3 linked regions of the Arabidopsis thaliana genome follow. The protein of the gene in region 1 interacts with the protein of each later gene in a biochemical or structural test. Each region holds a gene or a part of one and is shown in the gene's direction. Other genes may lie near its edges.

Region 1 (6,775 bases):
GAATATCCATCTTCACTTTCCCACCTCCTCCTCCTCCATAATCAATCTCTCTACTAGTTGACCCTCCTTTACTACCATAGCTCCACGGCTTCTGCAGAGTCGACCAAGAGTATGCATCACCTCCCCACACATCTTCAGGTAGCTTCTTAGTGTCAGTCAAACAACAAGCGCCTCTACCACCATGTCCACCACCAGCACCATCAATCCCCTGCGGTGTCCCACTGGTCTGTGGCGGAGGGCTCCCAGCTAACCCCGTCGTGTTCACCGCCGACCCATTAGCAAAGCTAGCATTACCAGCTGTAAGCTCCAATGTCCCAGCGACAATTGTAGATTCCGCTCCCAAAGAGAAGTTTCCAGAAACATTGATAGCTATAGAACAACCAGGGATCGGGCAGTGAAACCTAACACCAGGCAGGATGATAAAATTCCCCTTCCCAGCTATATACACATCGTGCGTAAGGTTCAAATCGGCGACAATCTTACAAGTAGTATCCAAAAACCCAACGCCGCCGAGATCCTCGCTACAAGATACCGACGGTCCATGCGGTGGTGGCGGTGGCGGAGCAGGCGGAGAGTAGTCCTGATGGAAAAGTAACGACTCTGAATCTGAGTCCAAATCGGAATCAGAACCCGATTTCGGTTCCACAATGGTAAATCGATAGCTTGAACTAGGGTTTACGGCCAAAACCGCAAGAGCGACCAAGACGAAGACGCAGCAAAATTGAAATCGAGCCATCCACTAGTATCAAGAGTCATCACAGACGAAGTCTACTAAGGTTTTCGATTCAACCCCAATTCGGATCATTGAGAAGAATAAACTGGAAAAACCAACCTCAGAGACACAAATTCACAAACAAACCTTCTCTTCTAAATCTCCAACACACAACAACACTTATGCATACATCAACATACGCATGTATACGTATTTTAGTCGTCTCGTTGAAGAAGAAAAGCGCATAAACCTTCACCGAAAAATGGGGTCTTAGAGAGAGAAGTGGTGCTTTTCCTTTCTCGGAGGAGAGAGAAAGAGAGGGAAGGGAGCTTCCAAGAAGAAAAGAAAACACAGGTTGGAACGGAGAGTAGTTACGATCTGGTACGTGCAAGTTCACCGTAATCAGGTAAATCTTAACAAATCATACTACGCCACGTCATTCTTTAGATTGCTCTAAAAGGAAATACTACTGTGCATCGTGGTTCACATGGAACTGGATGTGGCAGCGGTATCCTAATTTATTTTGACATCGAATTAAATTAGGACACGTGTCTAACTACGTTTAATTACTCGCTTTGCTGTTGGATATTAAGGGGTTAATGACTTGGTTTTTAAAATTTTTAAAACGTCAGGAGTTACGTTCGGACATTGAAAGGTGTTAAGAATTGGGCTTTGATGGGCCCTGTTTGTGAAGGAGTTTGATATGGACGCGCCAAGATTTGAGCGTGAGTGTTTTTTGTTTGATATTGAGAAACAGAATGCGTGTGACCTGGACGAAGTAAAAACAAAAATTAAACAAATCTGGCTGGCCCAATAGAAAACTAGCAGCATTATCAACACCAACATTTTAATCCATCACACCAATCTTTCAATCACTTCGATTTTCACGTTCTAAATGCAAAATGGTATTTTTTTTCTAATGTCAATGTATGGTTCACCCAAAATGATAAGGTACTGTTGTGTATGCTAATTTCTAAACAACTTTATAGCTTCAAAGCATATGAAATCCAAAATTAGATTTTAGTGATTAGACTACATGTATTGGGGACACTCTATGTTCAAAGTAAGAGATTGTGCATGGTCAGCAAAAACTAATTTAAACTAGTGGGATACGTGATGTATAATCTGATATTACGTGGTTTATTGGTTGGTACCAGAGTTAAAAACAAATGCAATTTGACTCGTATATGACTCATCATGCTGACTTCTTCAATAAGACAATTGTAGTAGATATATTTAATATAGAAAAATGGGTATATAATGTTATAAACTTAATCTTATCTGACCAACAATATTCAACTGGATTATATTTTTTCCCCCAGAAAAGGATTTTATTGCATTAAACTTAAAACGTTTACAAAGTAAGGTATAGAAGAGAGTAATATGATCTTCACTAACAACATTCATTACTGGAAAAATTATATATATAATCCATTCGGAGCCATTTCGTTGAAGTGCTTTAAAGTATTCAACTAAATTATTTCGTGAAGTGGTTCGGATAAATTATATTTGGATAATATTTCGAAGAATTTACCTTAGGTCTTAAAACTCGTTGTGTTATTTACTGAAACGAAATGGATTCAATTTTTTTTTGTTGTATACATGTAGGTTATTGAACAACCCACCAATAGCCGTGACTATCGGAGACTGCGGATCAGGCTACGGTCAGGTCGAATTTACAGTCATTTGACGCCTTTAAAAACTAATTACGCGAGAAAATCGGTTCTAGCTGCTAACTTTTTATTTGTTGTTGCCTTTCATTGAAAAAAAAAAAACTCATAATACAAAGACGAGCCATCTCTGATTAGATCTACACTTCTCCTCGCACCAAAATTTTGCCAGTTTTCGTTCCTTTGTTCATAACATTTTCGCGGATTCCAAATGGATTTCATGAAGGTCTTCGATCAAACTGTTCGAGAGATGTGGGTTTTCCGTTTTCTCTATCGATCCAAATCCGTAGATCTTTGGTTTTATATATTTTTTCGATTGATCTCGATTCGTTTTCAATTACAGAAAAAGGGAGGTGAATCTGAAAGTTTTGAAGGTCCCTGAGATGGAGCAAAAGGTGAATTTATTTGATTCGTATCCATATGTGCAAATTGTATCCATGATTACTAGGCAAAATGATCGAAAACTTTCTATAGATTTAGCTATTGCACGAAAATAAAAATTGCTAGATCGAAAATCGACACTAATCCTGAATATTTGAGCTGGATTTGTTATGTTTCTGTGTTCGGATGCTGAGTTTCTTCACAGTTGCTATTTCCTAGAGATTAGATCCATCTTTGGGACTCACAAATATCGAGTTCATATTTCTATAGAAGATAAGCTTGAGCCGTCATGTAAACTTAAATTGGCGGCAATGTTTCATGGATTTTGAGTTTGATCATCTCTTCAAATTCAGTATTATGTGATACCCTTTCATAATTATATATGGCTATGTTTAGTACAGGTATTGGATGCTACAGATAATGAGCCTTGGGGTCCCCATGGTACTGCATTGGCAGAGATAGCTCAGGCCACGAAGAAATTGTAATCTCTGGCTTCATTTTCGTGATTCTACTTGGAAATATTTTTTTGATTTGCTATTGCTTAACATGTGCACTTGCCATATGTTTAGCTCGGAGTGCCAGATGGTTATGAGTGTTTTGTGGACTAGACTAAGTGAGACAGGAAAAGATTGGCGATATGTCTACAAGGTGAGTATCTTCTTGACGTTTTCCTACTGTATTTGGAAGTTTATAGTTTTGTTGTGTCCTGAGGTTTTTCTATTTCATTTCCTGCCAGGCATTGGCTGTTATTGATTATCTGATTTCGAATGGATCAGAACGAGCGGTTGATGAGATTATTGAGCATACTTACCAAATATCTGTCAGTTTATTTCTCTTTACATATTGATATGCAGTTCTCTCTAAGATTGTGTTTTTTTTACTGACTAGATCTTTGTCATCCATGTAGTCACTCACAAGTTTTGAGTATGTTGAACCAAATGGGAAAGATGTGGGAATCAACGTGAGAAAGAAGGCGGAAAACATAGTCGCTCTTTTAAATAATAAAGAGAAAATCTCAGAAATCAGAGACAAAGCAGTAGCAAATCGTAACAAGTTAGTTTTTACACAAGTGGAAATAATTGGTCTGACCGTTCTTCTTTCTACTTTGCCTTAAATCGTTTTTTTCTGCCTCCAATTAGGTATGTTGGCCTCTCATCAACGGGAATAACATATAAATCTGGTTCCTCAGCTTCATTTGGTGGTAGTTTTCAAAGTGGTTCAAGCAATTTTGACAGCTACAAGGATAGAGATTCCAGAGAAGACAAGAATGACTACGAGTCTTTTCAAAAGTCAAGACGTGGTGTTAAAACTGAGGAGCAAAGCTACACTTCTAAGAAGAGTTTTTCACGCTATGGCAGGTTTATGTCAACCCCATTCATTTTCTGATGTTCGTTACATATTTTGGGTAGACTATGGGAGTTTTCTTTTCCAAAAGAGGCTGCTTGTTTGCTTTTCTTTTCTTATTTCTGGTTTGGTTTATGACTCATTAGTCTCATTTTGTGTACCATTTTTCTGATGTCGAGTAAATTAATCGTGCAATCTTGCTCACTCGATTCCAATTCTGAATGTGCAGCACGGACCATGACAATCTATCCAGTGGTAAAAAGTCACCCGATTCTGCCAAACATAGGTCATATGTATCTGCAGCTCCTTCAAACAACGATGATGATTTTGATGATTTTGATCCACGGGGAACTTCCAGTAATAGTATGTTTCTCTCTACGACTGCTGAGTTTGCAGATTGTTTATCATTCATTCGGGAGAAAGTTGGTTTGATAAACATGTATTTATGATAGACATATGTGCATGTCTTACCTGTATGGTTTTTATTTTTGGCAGAGCCATCCACAGGCAGTGCCAACCAAGTGGACCTTTTTGGAGGAGATCTGATTGGTGACTTCTTGGATTCTGGGCCAACAGAAACATCTTCCACCAACAACAACGAGAACTTTCAAGAGGCGGACTTGTTTGCTGATGCAGCTTTTGTATCAGCCTCGGCTCAGGGAGCTGAATTTGGGTCACAGACACAGGTGGTGACTTCTTTCATCTAAGCTAGTATGCAGCTTTTAACAATGGAAAATTCCCTTATTAACTGTCCAGTTATGTGATGCAATTTCTCGCTAATTGACAAAAACGTTTGTCTGTTGAAGTCGTTCTTTACACCTCACAATTACTTGTGCTGTTGAATCGTTGACTGATGTGTTTCCGCATTTCTGTTTCTACAGAAACAAGTTGATCTTTTCTCTGCGTCTGAACCTTCTGTCACAGTTTCTTCAGCTCCTCCGACGGTTGATCTCTTTGCATCTTCTGAATCAGTTGTAAGCCCAGAAGCCAAGATATCAATACCTGAGTCTATGGCTACTCCCAACATTGTTGACCCATTTGCTGCAGTTCCTATGGATAATTTTGATGGATCAGATCCTTTTGGTGCCTTCACTTCCCACTCGGCTTCAGTTTCTACAGGTCCACAAGCTCCAAGTGTACATGGGAGTGCAACAAACACCACAAGCCCGCTGTCTTTCGCAGACTCGAAGCCACAACATTTGCAAAAGAAAGATCCTTTCCAGGTGAAATCAGGAATTTGGGCAGATTCGCTGAGCCGTGGACTGATTGATCTCAATATAACTGCTCGTAAGTCGTTACTTCCTCTTCTATCGAGAACTCTCTCATTTGATCTGCACTATAAGAAAAAAATGTTTTATTTTCTCATTAGATGCAGTCAAACCCAAAAGGTATAGTTGTTCGATTACATTCCAACTATTTTTCAAACAGTACATTCTACAAATCAAAATTCTTAGCTCACATAAAGTTCCAGTACCATGTAGCTTGTTTGCATGGTGTCACGACAAAGAAATTGTTGGGTTTTAGTTTCTAAGTTCGATTTTAGTCCTGATTATTATTTTCCCTGTAACCAGCCAAAAAAGCTTCTCTAGCTGATGTGGGTGTTGTGGGGGATCTGAGCAATGAAGATGGGAACAAAGCATCTGCTGCATCGTACTACTCAGGCTGGTCCATGGGTGCAGGATCCGGGCTTGGTAAAACTGGCCTATACAGTACACAGCAGCAGCAGCAACAACAACAACAACAACAAGCACCTGATATCTCAGACGATTTCTTCTCCAGCCTCAGTAACCAAAGGTACCAATCTGGTGGCTTTAAGCAGTGAAATTGTCTGTGATTTGGTGTTGAGATGAAAAGGCATATCAAGTTTGATTCTACATTCCATACTGGAAATGTAAGTTTTTTTAATGGGTTTGTTGTTCTTGCACTTCATTCATGGGACAATCTGGTCGGTGACTGATGTGCCATTGTTGTTGTGGCGTTTACTTTGGGTTTAAATGAGAGAGAGAAGAATTGTCTTTATGTTTTTTTTGATAAGAGAGTACTTTTATTATTGGTTTAAAGTTTCGATTTGTTCATAGAACAAAAGTATATGTATCTCTTCCCACTCAACAAATATTTTTTTTATCGCGTGTGATTCTTAATCCGAAAGAGACTCCAACTTTCTTCTCAGTTGTTTTATTCACATTCATATTGACCAAGTTCATTCTTAGTGATTATGTTAACACTAATCTTATCTTACACAATTTAGTTCTCCGGTCACGAATGATTAAAATATAGAATAGTCTTATCTACAAAGAAAATGAGTAGTTGTGACAAAAAAAAATAGTCCAACACCAAAATAAAAAATGTCATCTCTTCACTGGTTTCCCAATATCTTCATCGTTGTCGTCGTCTTCTTCTCCTTGAGAAGTTCACAAGTTGTACTAGAAGAAGAAGAATCCACAGTCGTTGGATACGGCTACGTCGTTAGATCAGTGGGCGTTGATTCTAACCGGCAAGTTTTGACGGCGAAGCTTGATCTGATAAAACCATCGTCCGTTTACGCACCAGATATTAAATCGCTTAATCTTCATGTCAGGTCATTATAATCTCCTCTCTCAAACCAATCTCCAAAAAAACTAAATTTAGCAAGTTTTTCAAACTAATTTAAAATGTGCGATTATATAGG
Region 2 (5,163 bases), about 12 Mb from region 1:
ATGAAACTAAGTGAAGATATTGGAAAAATGTGGCTCAAACTTGTGAAGAACCTCAAAAAAGTATGTCTTGATCAACGCGACGAAGTGAGAAACCATGCAATCTCAATGCTGCAACGAGCTATAGCCGGTGCAGACGGGATCATGTTACCACAACCTCTATGGTTCCAATGCTTTGATTCCGCAGTCTTCATATTGCTAGACGATGTGCTCACTTTTTCGATCGAGAATTCAAGGAAGACTCTCAAGAAAACAGTGGAAGAAACGCTTGTTCTCGCCACAAAGCTCATGTCAAAAGCTTTTCTGCAATCTCTTCAAGACATCTCACAGCAACCATCATTCTGCAGACTTTGGGTTGGTGTCTTAAACCGTTTGGAAACGTACATGTCAACTGAATTCAGAGGAAAACGCAGCGAGAAAGTCAATGAACTCATCCCGGAACTGCTCAAGAACACATTACTGGTAATGAAGGCGACGGGAGTTTTATTACCAGGTGATGATATCGGAAGTGACAGTTTCTGGCAACTAACGTGGCTTCACGTTAATAAGATCTCTCCTTCTCTTCAATCTGAAGTTTTCCCTCAAGAGGAGCTTGATCAGTTTCAGAGACGAAACGCGAAGCCTGAGGATCCTCCGGTACCGGGAAATGAGGTCTGAGACGGTTTTGGTGGAATAGAGAAAATTTGTTCTATACAGATGAAAAAGCTTAATCAAGGATATCAATTTTTTTTTTGCAGTATAGCTTTTTTGTTTTTAATATAGGGGGATTATAATACTTTGGAGTCTTGAGCTTTTGTTTTTTTTATGGAATGTTATGTTGAAATTATGGGTTTGATTGGAAATATATTTGGAGGCAATTTGGAAACTGCTGCGTCTATTATACAAAGAACTTGAAAAATTCAATGGTACTGACAAAGAAAAATGGTACTCATCAAAACCAGAAAAGAAAAGTAAATTTTTGGTCCAAATCTCACTATTTTAATAACATTTTTTAAAAACAAAGAATTAAGAACAAAAACAAAATGACCTATAAAATTTTGGACTCTAATTCTTGGCTTGTGTGACTTTATTAACAGTTAAATATTACAAATTTTCAAACTCTTAAAAATTTAAACTTTATAAAACGTTTTAAATATTTATAATTTATAAACTTTATGAAGTTTTAAATATTATAAATATTTGTTATAATTTTGAATGTTATAAATTTATAAACGAAAAGAACTTGAAAAATTCAATGAAAACGAGTAACGACAAAGAAAAATGATAATCATCAAAACCAAATCTCAATATTTTAATAACATTTAAAGTTTTTAAAAAACCCAAAAAATTAACTAGTAGGCCTGGGCATAATACCCGGAACCGAATATCCGAACCGAAAAACCCGAAAAATAACCAAACCGAACCCGAATCCGATTTTTAGAATTACCCGAATGGGTCCTCGACCTTACTACCCGAAAAAACCCGAACCGAACCCGAACCGAATCTAATACCCGTGGGTACCCGAATACGAATGTAACTTAAATATATTAGTTATATATATATATTTGTAATACCTCAAATACCAAAATTAAAATTATAAATCCGATTATACTAGATTTTTTTAGTAATTCATATATATTTGGATATATTTGGGTAAAAGTAACAAATGTTATAGTTTTCTTTTAGATAATTTAAGTATTTTGGTTACATTTGGTTATATTTGTATAAAAAGTAACCAATATATTTACGGGTAATTGGGTATTTCGGGTTGATTTGGGTATATATGAATAAAAAAACCGAATCTAACCCGAACCCAAAAATATTTTGGGTATTTTTGGTTATTTTTACATTTTTACTAAAATAACCGAACCGACCCAAACCCGAACCGAAACCGAACCGAATTTTTAGAATACTCGAATGGTTCTCAACCTCCTACCCGAATAGACCCAATACCCGGAAAAAAAAACGAACCCGAACGGGTACCCGAATGCCCACGCCTCAATTAAGAACAGAAAAAGAAAAAAACTAACTTTCAGTGACCTATAAAAGTTTGGGCCCTAGAAGAGTCTTTTCGCAACACCAAAAATGGCAGATCCGCAAGCCCAACAAGGCAGTGGCATTGCCAAAAGATCTGGACAAAAAAAAGGCCAAGTGGTGTACAAAGCCTAGATGTAGGATATAATTACTCAACCGTCGAACATATTTTCCATAGATCATTCATAGACGTACGCATCATCAAATCAATTCATCGTCGTCTTCCACAATTGTCATCACCGATCGATTTTCCGACTCCGACGTACCTCCTCTTCCCCGTTACCTTCTCAGGTCTCAATCTGGCTTTCTCTATTTTTCGCCTAATTCCTCTTTTTCTGATTGTGATTCTGCTTTCTAATTTTGATCCTAATTTTTTGTGCTTATACTCCGGCTAAACTCTTCCATTTGTTCCGATCACCGGAATTTTCGTCACTTATTCGTCATCCTTTTTCTCTTTTGATCCGTCAATTTTACTTTTCTGTCTTTTTTTTTTCTCCTTTTTCCCCGTGTTGACATTTCTTTCTTCTGTACGTGATCTAGTTATCTTAGGGTTTTGGACTGCTATACAAAACAATCAATTGATTTTAGTTTTATCTTTTGAATCGTTGTAAGAATTTCAATAGCCTAGTCTTGTTGATGGTTTTGGGCTATTGAATCTGTTCTTAAAGTTTCAGCTTAATGTAATCTGTTCTTAATCAGAATTAGGGTTCATCATCATTGTGTGTGTTGCTGATTCTGCAGAGTTTTTAGTAGTCTTCCTTTGGAACAATGAGTGACGTGTTTGATGGATATGAGCGACAATACTGTGAGCTCTCGGCGAGTCTTTCAAAGAAGTGTTCCTCTGCTATTTCGCTTGATGGAGGTAAAATTGTTACTCTAATCTTTTCTAAGATGTGATACTTTTCCTACTCAGGCATTGCCTTACCTTCCTTAAGATTTGAAATAACTAATTCTGGTTTAGCTTATGAATGTAACAATGTACGAATTAGAGATATCTTGGTTTGTGTTTTTGATGCAGAGTATTGTGCGATTTAGATCCTTTAATTACTACTTCGTTGTAAGGACATAGTATTGGTTTCTGATTACGAAGAGAGCTTGTGATTAGTATTGGTCGCTGATCATCGCCATTTTTTTACACTGGGGATACTTCGGTTTTTGTTTGTTACTGAGAACGATTCTATAGATAGTTTGGTTTGTGTTTGATGACTATAAACTTCTTGTCTCCTTCATGTGTTGCTAGGACATAGTAGTGTGCCTTTCTTTTGCTTTCTTTGGAGATTGTGATTAGTAGTGTTCGCTGATCATCGGGATTGTTTTTTTTCCCCTAGATGAGTATGCTCTGTTGATTGCATAGATAAAAATGCATTGATGATACCTTATTAATTTGCAGAACAAAAGAAGCAGAAGTTGTCTGAAATAAAATCCGGGCTGGAAAATGCAGAAGTATTGGTATGTGATATGCGTAACGTGAAGTTATAGAAGCTTCTCTATTGTCCATTATTCATTTTGATGCTTCTCTGTCCTTTTCTTCACCAGATTAGGAAAATGGATCTCGAGGCAAGGACCCTTCCACCTAATCTTAAGTCCAGCCTCCTTGTCAAATTAAGAGAATTCAAGTCTGATCTGAACAATTTCAAAACTGAAGTGAAGAGAATCACATCTGGACAGTTGAACGCTGCTGCTCGTGATGAGTTGCTAGAAGCTGGTATGGCTGACACAAAGACGGTATGTAAAGGACTCGGTAGTATTGTTTCAATTTTATCTCATCTCATATCTTTGCTATTAAAACGACCTATGATTTTCTTTTTTTATTGAAACGCTGAGATCAGGCTTCAGCTGATCAGAGAGCAAGATTGATGATGTCAACTGAGCGTCTGGGCCGAACCACTGACAGAGTCAAGGACAGTCGTAGAACAATGATGGAGACTGAAGAAATCGGTGTTTCAATCCTCCAAGACTTGCACGGTCAGAGACAGTCTCTCTTACGTGCCCACGAAACGGTATTGTCTCTCTGCAACACATTTACTCCATATTCTCAACGATATTCTGAACAAAGTGACAAAATAAGATGAGAATTAAGGGCTATATCATAAAGAAGACTATGTTTTCTTGTTTTCTTTATCAACGCTGGATTGATATCGCGCTAACCAAAATTTAGAACTCTGTTGACAGCTTCATGGAGTAGACGATAACATTGGAAAGAGCAAGAAGATCTTGACAGACATGACGAGGAGGATGAACAAGAACAAATGGACCATTGGAGCCATCATCATCGCATTGATTGCCGCCATTTTCATCATCTTGTACTTCAAACTCACCAAGTAAGCCTCTGTAACTAAATCCGACCAAATCAAAGAACAACGGTTGTTTTCGTTTTGTGAGTCTTTGATTTATCCTGTTTCTTCTTTTTGTGTGAAAAGTTGTTTTGCCACCTTTGTATTCTAAATTTGACCATACATACTTTAAGCAAGTAAAGCTTCGGCCTAAGTGTCACGTATATTGTTTATATTGTTCATATCAAATCCAGAACTATACATGGTTAAACATTGAGATTAAAAGCCTCAATTATTTCAAACAATCGAGGTCTACATCTCGCACAATTGTTCATATATTGGATCTAGAACTATACATGATCAAACATTGATATCAATTACTAGTGTTTTTTTCTTTCATATTTGAATTTGCTATAATCAGCGACCAAGCTCTCAATAACCCTATGCTTCATGTTATCCACCAAACCGGCCAAAATCTGTAAAGGGCCAATCAAAAACATAAATCATGTATAAACCCGGAACACAGCATTTTGAGTCTCCAATCGCATATATGAAACAAGACAGTTTCTTACCGCATTGGCCATGTTTCTCCTAACATCTTCTGGTACAAGCGCGAGAACTGAAGGAAGCACGAAGCTAATGGTCGTTTCTAGTCGACCTTTGAGCCTCGTGTGCCTTCCACGCCGGTCTGGGTATAATGCTCCTTTTACTCCAAGAGTGAAATCAGTTGGTTCCATTACTCGGTCAAGCCCTTGAAGCTCCCATTTCGTCTGAAAATCGTAATTCAAATGTTAAATCAATAAAAATTCTGACTAGTGAATTTGTGATTCATGTGGTGGTACAAATATAATATTACCATGTTGAGCTCAAGAACTTTGGT
Region 3 (7,756 bases), on another chromosome or scaffold:
TTCCATGTCATGATGAACGAGAGGTGGTTCACTTCTTCCTGTCTATAACGATTTGGTTTAAGAGATTTGATATGTTGATTATACACTAGTATGTAATATGAGGATAGATTAAAAAAAACTTACATGACGGATGACGTAAGGGCGAACAGCAAATCCAATGGCTACCCCGAGAATGCAGGAAAGGACAATCCCTATTGACCAAAGAGAGTATGTCCCCAAATCTGAAACAGTGAAAGAAGAATCGTTGAAGTTTCCAAAGGCATGGTTAGTCAAATCCACAAAAGATTACTTATAGAAAAGACATACTAGAATGAGAGTTTTCGAGGCAATCCTCCTCCTTAAGATTTATCTGGCGAATCATTTCATTTCCATGATCAGAAACAAGCAAACAACATCTTTGAGGAACAAAAGTTATCTCGAAATCGCTAGAGAAAGTAGCATTCTGTGCAGGTCCATCTCTGTGTCCAAATGCCTTTGAGATCCCTCCAGCAATGGTGGTTACAGAACCTACAAAGTCCAGTAAATAAAACATGCATAATCAAAATAAACTAAGTGGCTCTTTCAACAAACTAAGATTAGACAACAACAACAACTAGCATTTATACAAAAGGAATACAAGAAATGGATTAAACAAACACCTGAAGAGCTGATCTTCCGTATAGCTTTATTACTCTTATCAGCAACATAAACATTCCCTTTAGCATCCACAGCAAAACCACGGGGTTTGCTGAACCGGCTGTTACCAGCTTTACCATCTACATGACCCGAACTCCCATCCCCAGCAAACCGGTTTATCACACTATCTGCACAACCACACACACATACTCAAAGTGAGCTCAAACTTCAATTGAAAGAAAGATAAACAAAATTTTCACTTATAGTAAAGTTTAGAACTTTTATTTGCAGGTTGATCGTTTCACACACATACACACACATATTAGTATTGTGGTCCAATTTGAGATTACGGAGAAAGAAAAAATGAAGGTCAAGACTTGCAATCAAAATCAACAAGCTCTAAACATTTACTTATGCATCCATGAATTTACAACTCATATACAAACACAATTATAATGATCCGATTAATAGATGAGACAAAAGAGTGGTTTTGTGGGTGTTTACCAACGGACAAAGGAAAGGAAGTAGTGTAAAATGTACTGCCGGAAGAATCAAGGACGATCAGATTAGAAGATCCTGGTAAAGCATGAATCGTGTATGGATTCAGACCAGACTTATGGCCATCGACCACCGTTGTGACTTCGTACCCTTCTTCTAAAACTATCTTACCACTCACTGTAACAAAATCATGAGGAAAATTAAAAATTCGAATTTTGGGTTGGGAAATTCAACTGAATTAACAGATTTTTGAAAATATACCCAGATTGAAAACGACGAACAAGAAGAGAGACACGGACGAAAATCCCCAAGCCATGTCAAAATCGAGAGGAGAAAGCGACTGTTCTGTGTAACTTGTGTTGTGTTACTTATTTTTGCTGCTTAGCATCTTTAAAGGTTTTAAAAAGATACTAGGGCCTGAGCGATACTATGATGTGTTCAAGTGTAGGGGAGAATTTGTGTAACAACCAATGAAAGAGCGCGTATCATCGACCCTCTCAAATTTGACTAATAAAAACGGCCCAAGTAGGGCCCATTTATGTGTTTAACTATAAAGAAACGGCCCAGTCTATGTTTTTGTTTTGAGAGGATTGCTGGTCGAAACGTTACCGTTTAGGTGGAAATGGAAGTCATGTTTATACAACGCATTTAATTTGGCAATTATGGTTTACGAAGACTGAGAAGAAAAAAACGAGCATCGTCCATCGAGATCCAAATCCTCAGTTTCATTTTCATCTCTCTCTCTCGTATTGATCAGCTACTCGAAACTCCGGTAACGGATTTTCACAATCCCGGCGGCGAAACTCTTCTTCCCGGCTAAGTTTTCATTTTCTTCAGATTCCTCGTAAAGTTGCCGGTGGACCAAGGTCCAACTCTTGAACACCCCAAATCATGAATCCCTTTTCTTCTGGTACTCGTTTAAGGTAAATTGATTCTCTTCTTTCCTTTTTATCGTTTCTGTTTCAGGTTTCTTAGTCGTTGATCAGCTTACAAATGAAATTTGAATATAACATGATGTAATTGAGCTCGTTTTCATTTGAGGATTGAATTTTGTTGATTGGCCTGTTTCGAAGATGAATTTGGTATTGGTGTTTCTGATTCCATTTAGAATTTTGATTTTAGTCTAAGAACATGATCACACTAAGGATTTTTGGTAATCCTTTTGCTTAATTTAATTGAATATTGGATTGGTCATGTTGCTGTTGGGGTTTAATAGTGGAATCAGATCGGATTATTGTATATGGTTCTGAAGTTATAGTGGACATATGAGTATGATTCAGGGACATGATCCGTGCCATAAGAGCATGCAAAACAGCTGCGGAGGAGCGAGCTGTTGTAAGAAAGGAGTGTGCCGATATTCGAGCATTGATTAATGAAGATGACCCGCATGATCGGCACCGGAACCTTGCGAAACTCATGTTTATACACATGCTGGGTTATCCCACACACTTTGGGCAGATGGAGTGCTTGAAGCTAATTGCATCTCCTGGATTTCCAGAGAAGAGGATTGGATATCTAGGGCTAATGTTGCTTCTTGATGAGAGACAAGAAGTGTTGATGCTTGTCACAAATTCGTTAAAACAGTATCCTTACTAATTTCTAGTATTAAATCTTGATACCTTGGCCTTTGAATGGATTCTTCTTCTATGTTAAAAAATACTAGAGAACACTTGATTTTTGATTGCATTGCTGTTATGGGAATTAAGGAGAAAAATATTTAAATAGATTTGTTCCTGTTTAACCTTAAGTCACGTGCAGAGATCTTAATCACTCGAACCAGTATGTTGTAGGACTTGCTCTCTGTGCTTTAGGGAATATTTGTTCAGCAGAAATGGCCCGTGATCTTGCGCCAGAAGTAGAAAGATTAATCCAGTTTCGTGACCCTAATATCCGAAAGAAGGTGAAGTGTTTTCTAATTCATATACAGGGTCTCCTGGAGTTTAGTCGCTTTTTTTTTTTCCTTCATTGCCTTTACCATTTATGTTGTATTATATGCAGGCGGCGCTTTGCTCTACTAGAATAATAAGGAAAGTTCCAGATCTAGCAGAAAACTTCGTAAATGCTGCTGCTTCCTTGCTTAAAGAAAAGCATCATGGGGTTCTTATAACAGGAGTTCAACTTTGTTATGAATTATGCACGATTAATGATGAAGCCCTAGAGTACTTCAGAACGGTAAGTCTATAAATATTATACAGAACACTCTACTTATGCATACAGGAGCATCGACGTAATTTAATTGAATATGCGTACATATGATACTATATTACCTGTATGATGCTTTTGTGTACTATTTTTCTCTTGCAATAAAGTTTGATATCTGTGGTATTCACTTATAAATAGATTACTCTGCTGAAATGAGGCAGACAATCAGGTTGTTATATTGTTTTATCAGACCGTCAGTTTTGACAAACCCTTGTCTTTGTTTTGTCTCTGCAGAAATGCACAGAGGGACTGATAAAAACTTTGAGGGATATTACTAATAGCGCATATCAGCCTGAGTATGATGTTGCAGGGATCACAGACCCTTTTCTCCACATACGGTTGCTCAGGCTCTTGCGTGTTTTAGGCCAGGGTGATGCTGATGCTAGTGATTTGATGACAGATATACTTGCACAGGTTAGTCATAGTTTAGCAAGTGATTCTGGATATGGTTGACCATCTTCACATTTGCGATGTAATTCCTTTGTTAAACATCAACGGTTTATGGTTTTTGTTCCAGTTACCTTACATATATTTTTTCGGAAAAATGTTGTAAGATAGCTATGCTCTCTCATGTGCTGGAACTGATTCTGTTAAATATAGCATAATGGAGAAAGAATTTCATTTCGTTGATAGGGTTCATGGGCTATTATTCTCTTTGGTAGATAGAAGACTTATTGGTTACTGAGTTTTTGCCGTACTTGAATTCTCCCTCTTTTGATACCGGTCTTTGTTGTCATAGTAAGTGTTGATTTGTGGACGGACATATAAATCTGTAGGCTGCGCCAATCCTTTTCTATCTCACCATGATGAATGCATCCTGCGTCTGTTACATGCTTTGTTTTGGAAATCTTTTGAGTTCAAAGTCAGGGATCTACTGTCGGATACTTTGTTATCCTGGTTCTTTGATATTTATTCTCGTTGGTTTCATGCTATTGTAGGTGGCAACAAAAACTGAATCAAACAAAAACGCAGGGAATGCGGTACTCTATGAGTGTGTTGAAACAATCATGGCCATTGAAGACACCAATAGCTTGCGTGTGCTTGCTATCAATATCTTGGGAAGATTCTTATCTAACCGCGACAATAACATCAGGTTCAACCCCCTACACCTCAATTTTATTTGATAATAGTATGGTATTATATATGTTTGTAATGGAACTAGCTTACTTGTATTTTTCTTCTGTCTATCATCTTTCTTTGGATGTGCTTAACTCTATGAAGCACACAATGCTCTTCTGACCAACCAGCGTTGCCTTTTCTAATCTTGATTTCGTTTCTCTCAAAAACGCTGCATTCCCTTATGAAATTCATACTTTCGTTCTCTCAGATATGTTGCATTAAACATGCTGATGAAAGCTATCACTTTCGATGATCAAGCAGTGCAAAGGCACAGAGTTACAATTTTGGAATGTGTGAAGGTATTAGTATTACCAGGAAAATATTTTATACAATGTTAACTGCTAAGTATATCTTAGAGAAATAAAAAATGCTAATTTGGTTTCTGCTTCCATAACAATATAGGACCCAGATGCTTCTATCCGGAAAAGAGCTCTTGAGCTTGTCACTCTTTTGGTGAATGAAAACAATGTCACACAACTGACAAAGGAGCTAATTGATTATTTGGAAATCAGCGACGAAGATTTTAAGGAAGATCTTAGTGCAAAAATTTGTTTTATCGTTGAAAAGTAAGTATTCTATTTAAGAAATAGAATGACTACTTACTCTGAGAAAGTTGGGGGTCAGGATGATTGGAAAGTTACTGTGAATGTCTAGTTGATTGAAGTTTTTGTTGACTTTTTAAATTTTTTGATAATGTAGGTTTTCTCCAGAAAAACTATGGTACATTGATCAGATGCTCAAGGTTCTGTGTGAGGTATGGATTCAAACGCGAGAATATGCTCTGTAACGTGTTACCAGTTAATTGCACTCTTTGAAATCGTTTGAGAGTTTATATCTGCTTAAGCTAATTTCAAATGCATTGTTTGTATCTGTCATAACCTATTGTCATCTATTCCATGTTAGTAGGCTGGAAAGTTTGTGAAAGATGATGTGTGGCATGCACTTATTGTTGTCATAAGCAATGCATCAGAGCTTCATGGATATACAGTTAGGGCCTTGTACAAATCAGTCTTGACTTATTCGGAACAGGTAGCTATTTTCTAATGTTAGATTGTGCTCAGTCCTCAATCAGTTGTAACCCTTTCTAATATGGTTTCGTTGAGATGATAACCAGGAGACCCTTGTCCGAGTGGCGGTATGGTGCATTGGGGAATATGGTGATCTGTTGGTTAACAATGTGGGGATGCTTGGTATTGAAGATCCAATAACGGTGAGCATCACAATGGCAATCTTAATTCATTATTTGCTCCATGATAAATATGCAGATGCTTTTGCTTCTTGGGATTTCATTTTTGCTTTGAAAAATATGCAACGAGTATGTGACTGCCTTGAGCAGGTAACGGAATCTGATGCAGTGGACGTTATCGAGGATGCCATTACTCGCCATAACTCAGATTCGACTACAAAAGCAATGGCATTGGTTGCTCTACTGAAGTTGTCATCCCGCTTTCCTTCTATTTCAGAGTATGTCTGACCTCGTTGTGCTATCTGTTTTTATCTCAACTCGTTCATCTGATATCTGCACTTATCCCTTTTCAACTCTACACAAGATGCATATGCGCACTAGTATATGAATAATAAATTTTGGTCTGTCTACAAGAAACTGTAGCGCGTTGCCTTCTGAAAAAAGATTAGAAATATATTATACATGTACATCCTGTCCTCAACTCTCTATTGATAATTAAAAAGTTTTCTAAAATTCAATGACAGGAGAATTAAAGACATAATTGTGAAGCAGAAAGGAAGCCTTCTCCTTGAAATGCAGCAGAGAGCTATTGAATACAATTCTATAGTTGACAGGCATAAAAATATCAGGTGGAATCCCTTGTGCCTCTCTTCCTCATCTATCTTCTAGTGTAAGTTTTTCATATTCTCTCTCCCTCAAAGCTCATGATAGAGGTATGTGTGCATACAGGTCTTCTCTGGTTGACAGAATGCCGGTACTGGATGAGGCTACTTTCAATGTGAGGAGGGCCGGCTCTTTTCCTGCATCAGTTTCAACCATGGCCAAGCCTTCAGTTAGCCTTCAAAATGGTGTTGAGAAACTTCCTGTCGCTCCTCTTGTGGACTTGCTAGACCTAGATTCTGACGATATCATGGCTGCACCTAGTCCATCTGGTACAGATTTCCTTCAGGATCTTCTCGGTGTAGACTTAGGTTCATCGTCAGCACAATATGGTTAGTTCTTTGGCGGTTCTACAGCTCTTGCGTTCATATTATGGCGTGCTCATCTGCTATGTGTCTCTGAATGAACAAGTTTTTAAAAAAATCATTTTCCTCATTGCCTTGCAAAAGGATAACTCATGTTTGGTCTTCCATTTTTTATCCAATGATTCAGGTGCAACCCAGGCTCCAAAAGCTGGCACAGATCTGTTGCTGGATATTCTATCAATTGGAACACCTTCTCCTGCACAAAACAGCACATCATCTATTGGTTTATTATCAATAGCTGACGTTAACAATAATCCCTCAATTGCGCTAGACACACTTTCTTCACCAGCTCCACCTCACGTAGCAACAACTTCGTCCACCGGTATGTTTGATTTGCTAGATGGTCTTTCTCCAAGCCCATCGAAGGAAGGTAGGAAAAAGTCTTAACCTGAAAAAGATCTGTATAATCATTGAAACTCTTTTACAAAGGTCAATAACAAGTTTTCCTCCTTATTGCAGCCACCAATGGTCCAGCTTATGCACCTATTGTTGCATACGAGAGCAGCTCCTTGAAGATTGAGTTCACCTTCTCAAAGACACCAGGGAATCTGCAAACGACAAATGTCCAGGCTACTTTTACTAATTTATCTCCCAATACTTTCACAGATTTTATATTCCAGGCTGCTGTTCCAAAGGTAATTACATCTATCTTCTTTTTTTGCTTTTTTCCCCTTTATTCATCTTTCCCAATTGATAAAGCAGTAAATAGATTTCAATTTTTTCTTTAACCTTCTCTTTCTTTTGTGTAACTTCCAGTTCCTCCAGCTGCACTTGGATCCAGCTAGCAGTAACACACTCCTGGCAAGCGGTAGTGGTGCCATCACGCAGAATCTAAGAGTCACTAACAGCCAGCAGGGGAAGGTATGGCACATTCTCTGTTCGTCTTTCTATCTAACTTTATGTCTTCAACATTCCGTGCTCAGCATTGATGAATAGCACTTGATGATCCACAACATAATCTATGCTCAAATAAAGATAGGCTGAGCCTGTGGATTCAGTGACTTAACATAACACTAAGGGTTTAATGTTTATTGCAGAAATCTCTTGTGATGCGCATGAGGATTGGGTACAAACTGAACGGAAAAGATGTATTAGAGGAAGGACAAGTCAG

The links.
Region 2: the proteins of AT5G11710 (region 1) and SGR4 form a complex in vitro, tested with the Arabidopsis thaliana proteins (one study listed by BioGRID).
Region 3: the proteins of AT5G11710 (region 1) and GAMMA-ADAPTIN 1 form a complex in vitro, tested with the Arabidopsis thaliana proteins (one study listed by BioGRID).

Annotation. Positions count from the first base shown.
Region 1 is NC_003076.8:3,770,388-3,777,162, forward strand, and holds AT5G11710 (ENTH/VHS family protein), read left to right. Parts: upstream 1-2,013; 5' UTR 2,014-2,078; intron 2,079-2,182; exon of another isoform or gene 2,183-2,204; intron 2,205-2,230; exon of another isoform or gene 2,231-2,320; 5' UTR 2,321-2,593; coding exon 2,594-2,634; intron 2,635-2,725; coding exon 2,726-2,777; intron 2,778-3,164; coding exon 3,165-3,244; intron 3,245-3,332; coding exon 3,333-3,411; intron 3,412-3,499; coding exon 3,500-3,583; intron 3,584-3,670; coding exon 3,671-3,816; intron 3,817-3,902; coding exon 3,903-4,121; intron 4,122-4,336; coding exon 4,337-4,470; intron 4,471-4,602; coding exon 4,603-4,793; intron 4,794-4,988; coding exon 4,989-5,394; intron 5,395-5,678; coding exon 5,679-5,929; 3' UTR 5,930-6,275; downstream 6,276-6,775. Other genes in the region: AT5G11700 (ephrin type-B receptor), read right to left, coding at 1-736; AT5G11720 (Glycosyl hydrolases family 31 protein), read left to right, coding at 6,453-6,685. UniProt on the Arabidopsis thaliana protein: May have a role in transport via clathrin-coated vesicles from the trans-Golgi network to endosomes. Stimulates clathrin assembly. Does not seem to bind to phospholipids.
Region 2 is NC_003076.8:15,819,257-15,824,419, forward strand, and holds SGR4 (Vesicle transport v-SNARE family protein), read left to right. Parts: upstream 1-2,036; 5' UTR 2,037-2,301; intron 2,302-2,751; 5' UTR 2,752-2,778; coding exon 2,779-2,872; intron 2,873-2,962; exon of another isoform or gene 2,963-3,181; intron 3,182-3,400; coding exon 3,401-3,459; intron 3,460-3,546; coding exon 3,547-3,735; intron 3,736-3,839; coding exon 3,840-4,010; intron 4,011-4,182; coding exon 4,183-4,335; 3' UTR 4,336-4,584; downstream 4,585-5,163. Other genes in the region: GNL1 (GNOM-like 1), read left to right, coding at 1-654; AT5G39520 (hypothetical protein (DUF1997)), read right to left, coding at 4,664-4,759, 4,856-5,053, 5,140-5,163. UniProt on the Arabidopsis thaliana protein: Functions as a v-SNARE responsible for targeting AtELP-containing vesicles from the trans-Golgi network (TGN) to the prevacuolar compartment (PVC) and mediates liposome fusion. May be also involved in retrograde traffic to the cis-Golgi.
Region 3 is NC_003070.9:8,439,375-8,447,130, forward strand, and holds the start of GAMMA-ADAPTIN 1 (gamma-adaptin 1), read left to right. Parts: upstream 1-1,704; 5' UTR 1,705-2,004; coding exon 2,005-2,036; intron 2,037-2,079; exon of another isoform or gene 2,080-2,393; coding exon 2,394-2,696; intron 2,697-2,871; coding exon 2,872-3,013; intron 3,014-3,111; coding exon 3,112-3,285; intron 3,286-3,549; coding exon 3,550-3,729; intron 3,730-4,253; coding exon 4,254-4,408; intron 4,409-4,642; coding exon 4,643-4,733; intron 4,734-4,836; coding exon 4,837-5,000; intron 5,001-5,133; coding exon 5,134-5,188; intron 5,189-5,340; coding exon 5,341-5,463; intron 5,464-5,548; coding exon 5,549-5,644; intron 5,645-5,770; coding exon 5,771-5,898; intron 5,899-6,144; coding exon 6,145-6,249; intron 6,250-6,349; coding exon 6,350-6,612; intron 6,613-6,772; coding exon 6,773-7,015; intron 7,016-7,104; coding exon 7,105-7,280; intron 7,281-7,401; coding exon 7,402-7,506; intron 7,507-7,682; coding exon 7,683-7,756. Other genes in the region: AT1G23890 (NHL domain-containing protein), read right to left, coding at 1-38, 124-221, 307-507, 639-803, 1,120-1,290, 1,375-1,429. UniProt on the Arabidopsis thaliana protein: Subunit of clathrin-associated adaptor protein complex 1 that plays a role in protein sorting at the trans-Golgi network and early endosomes (TGN/EE).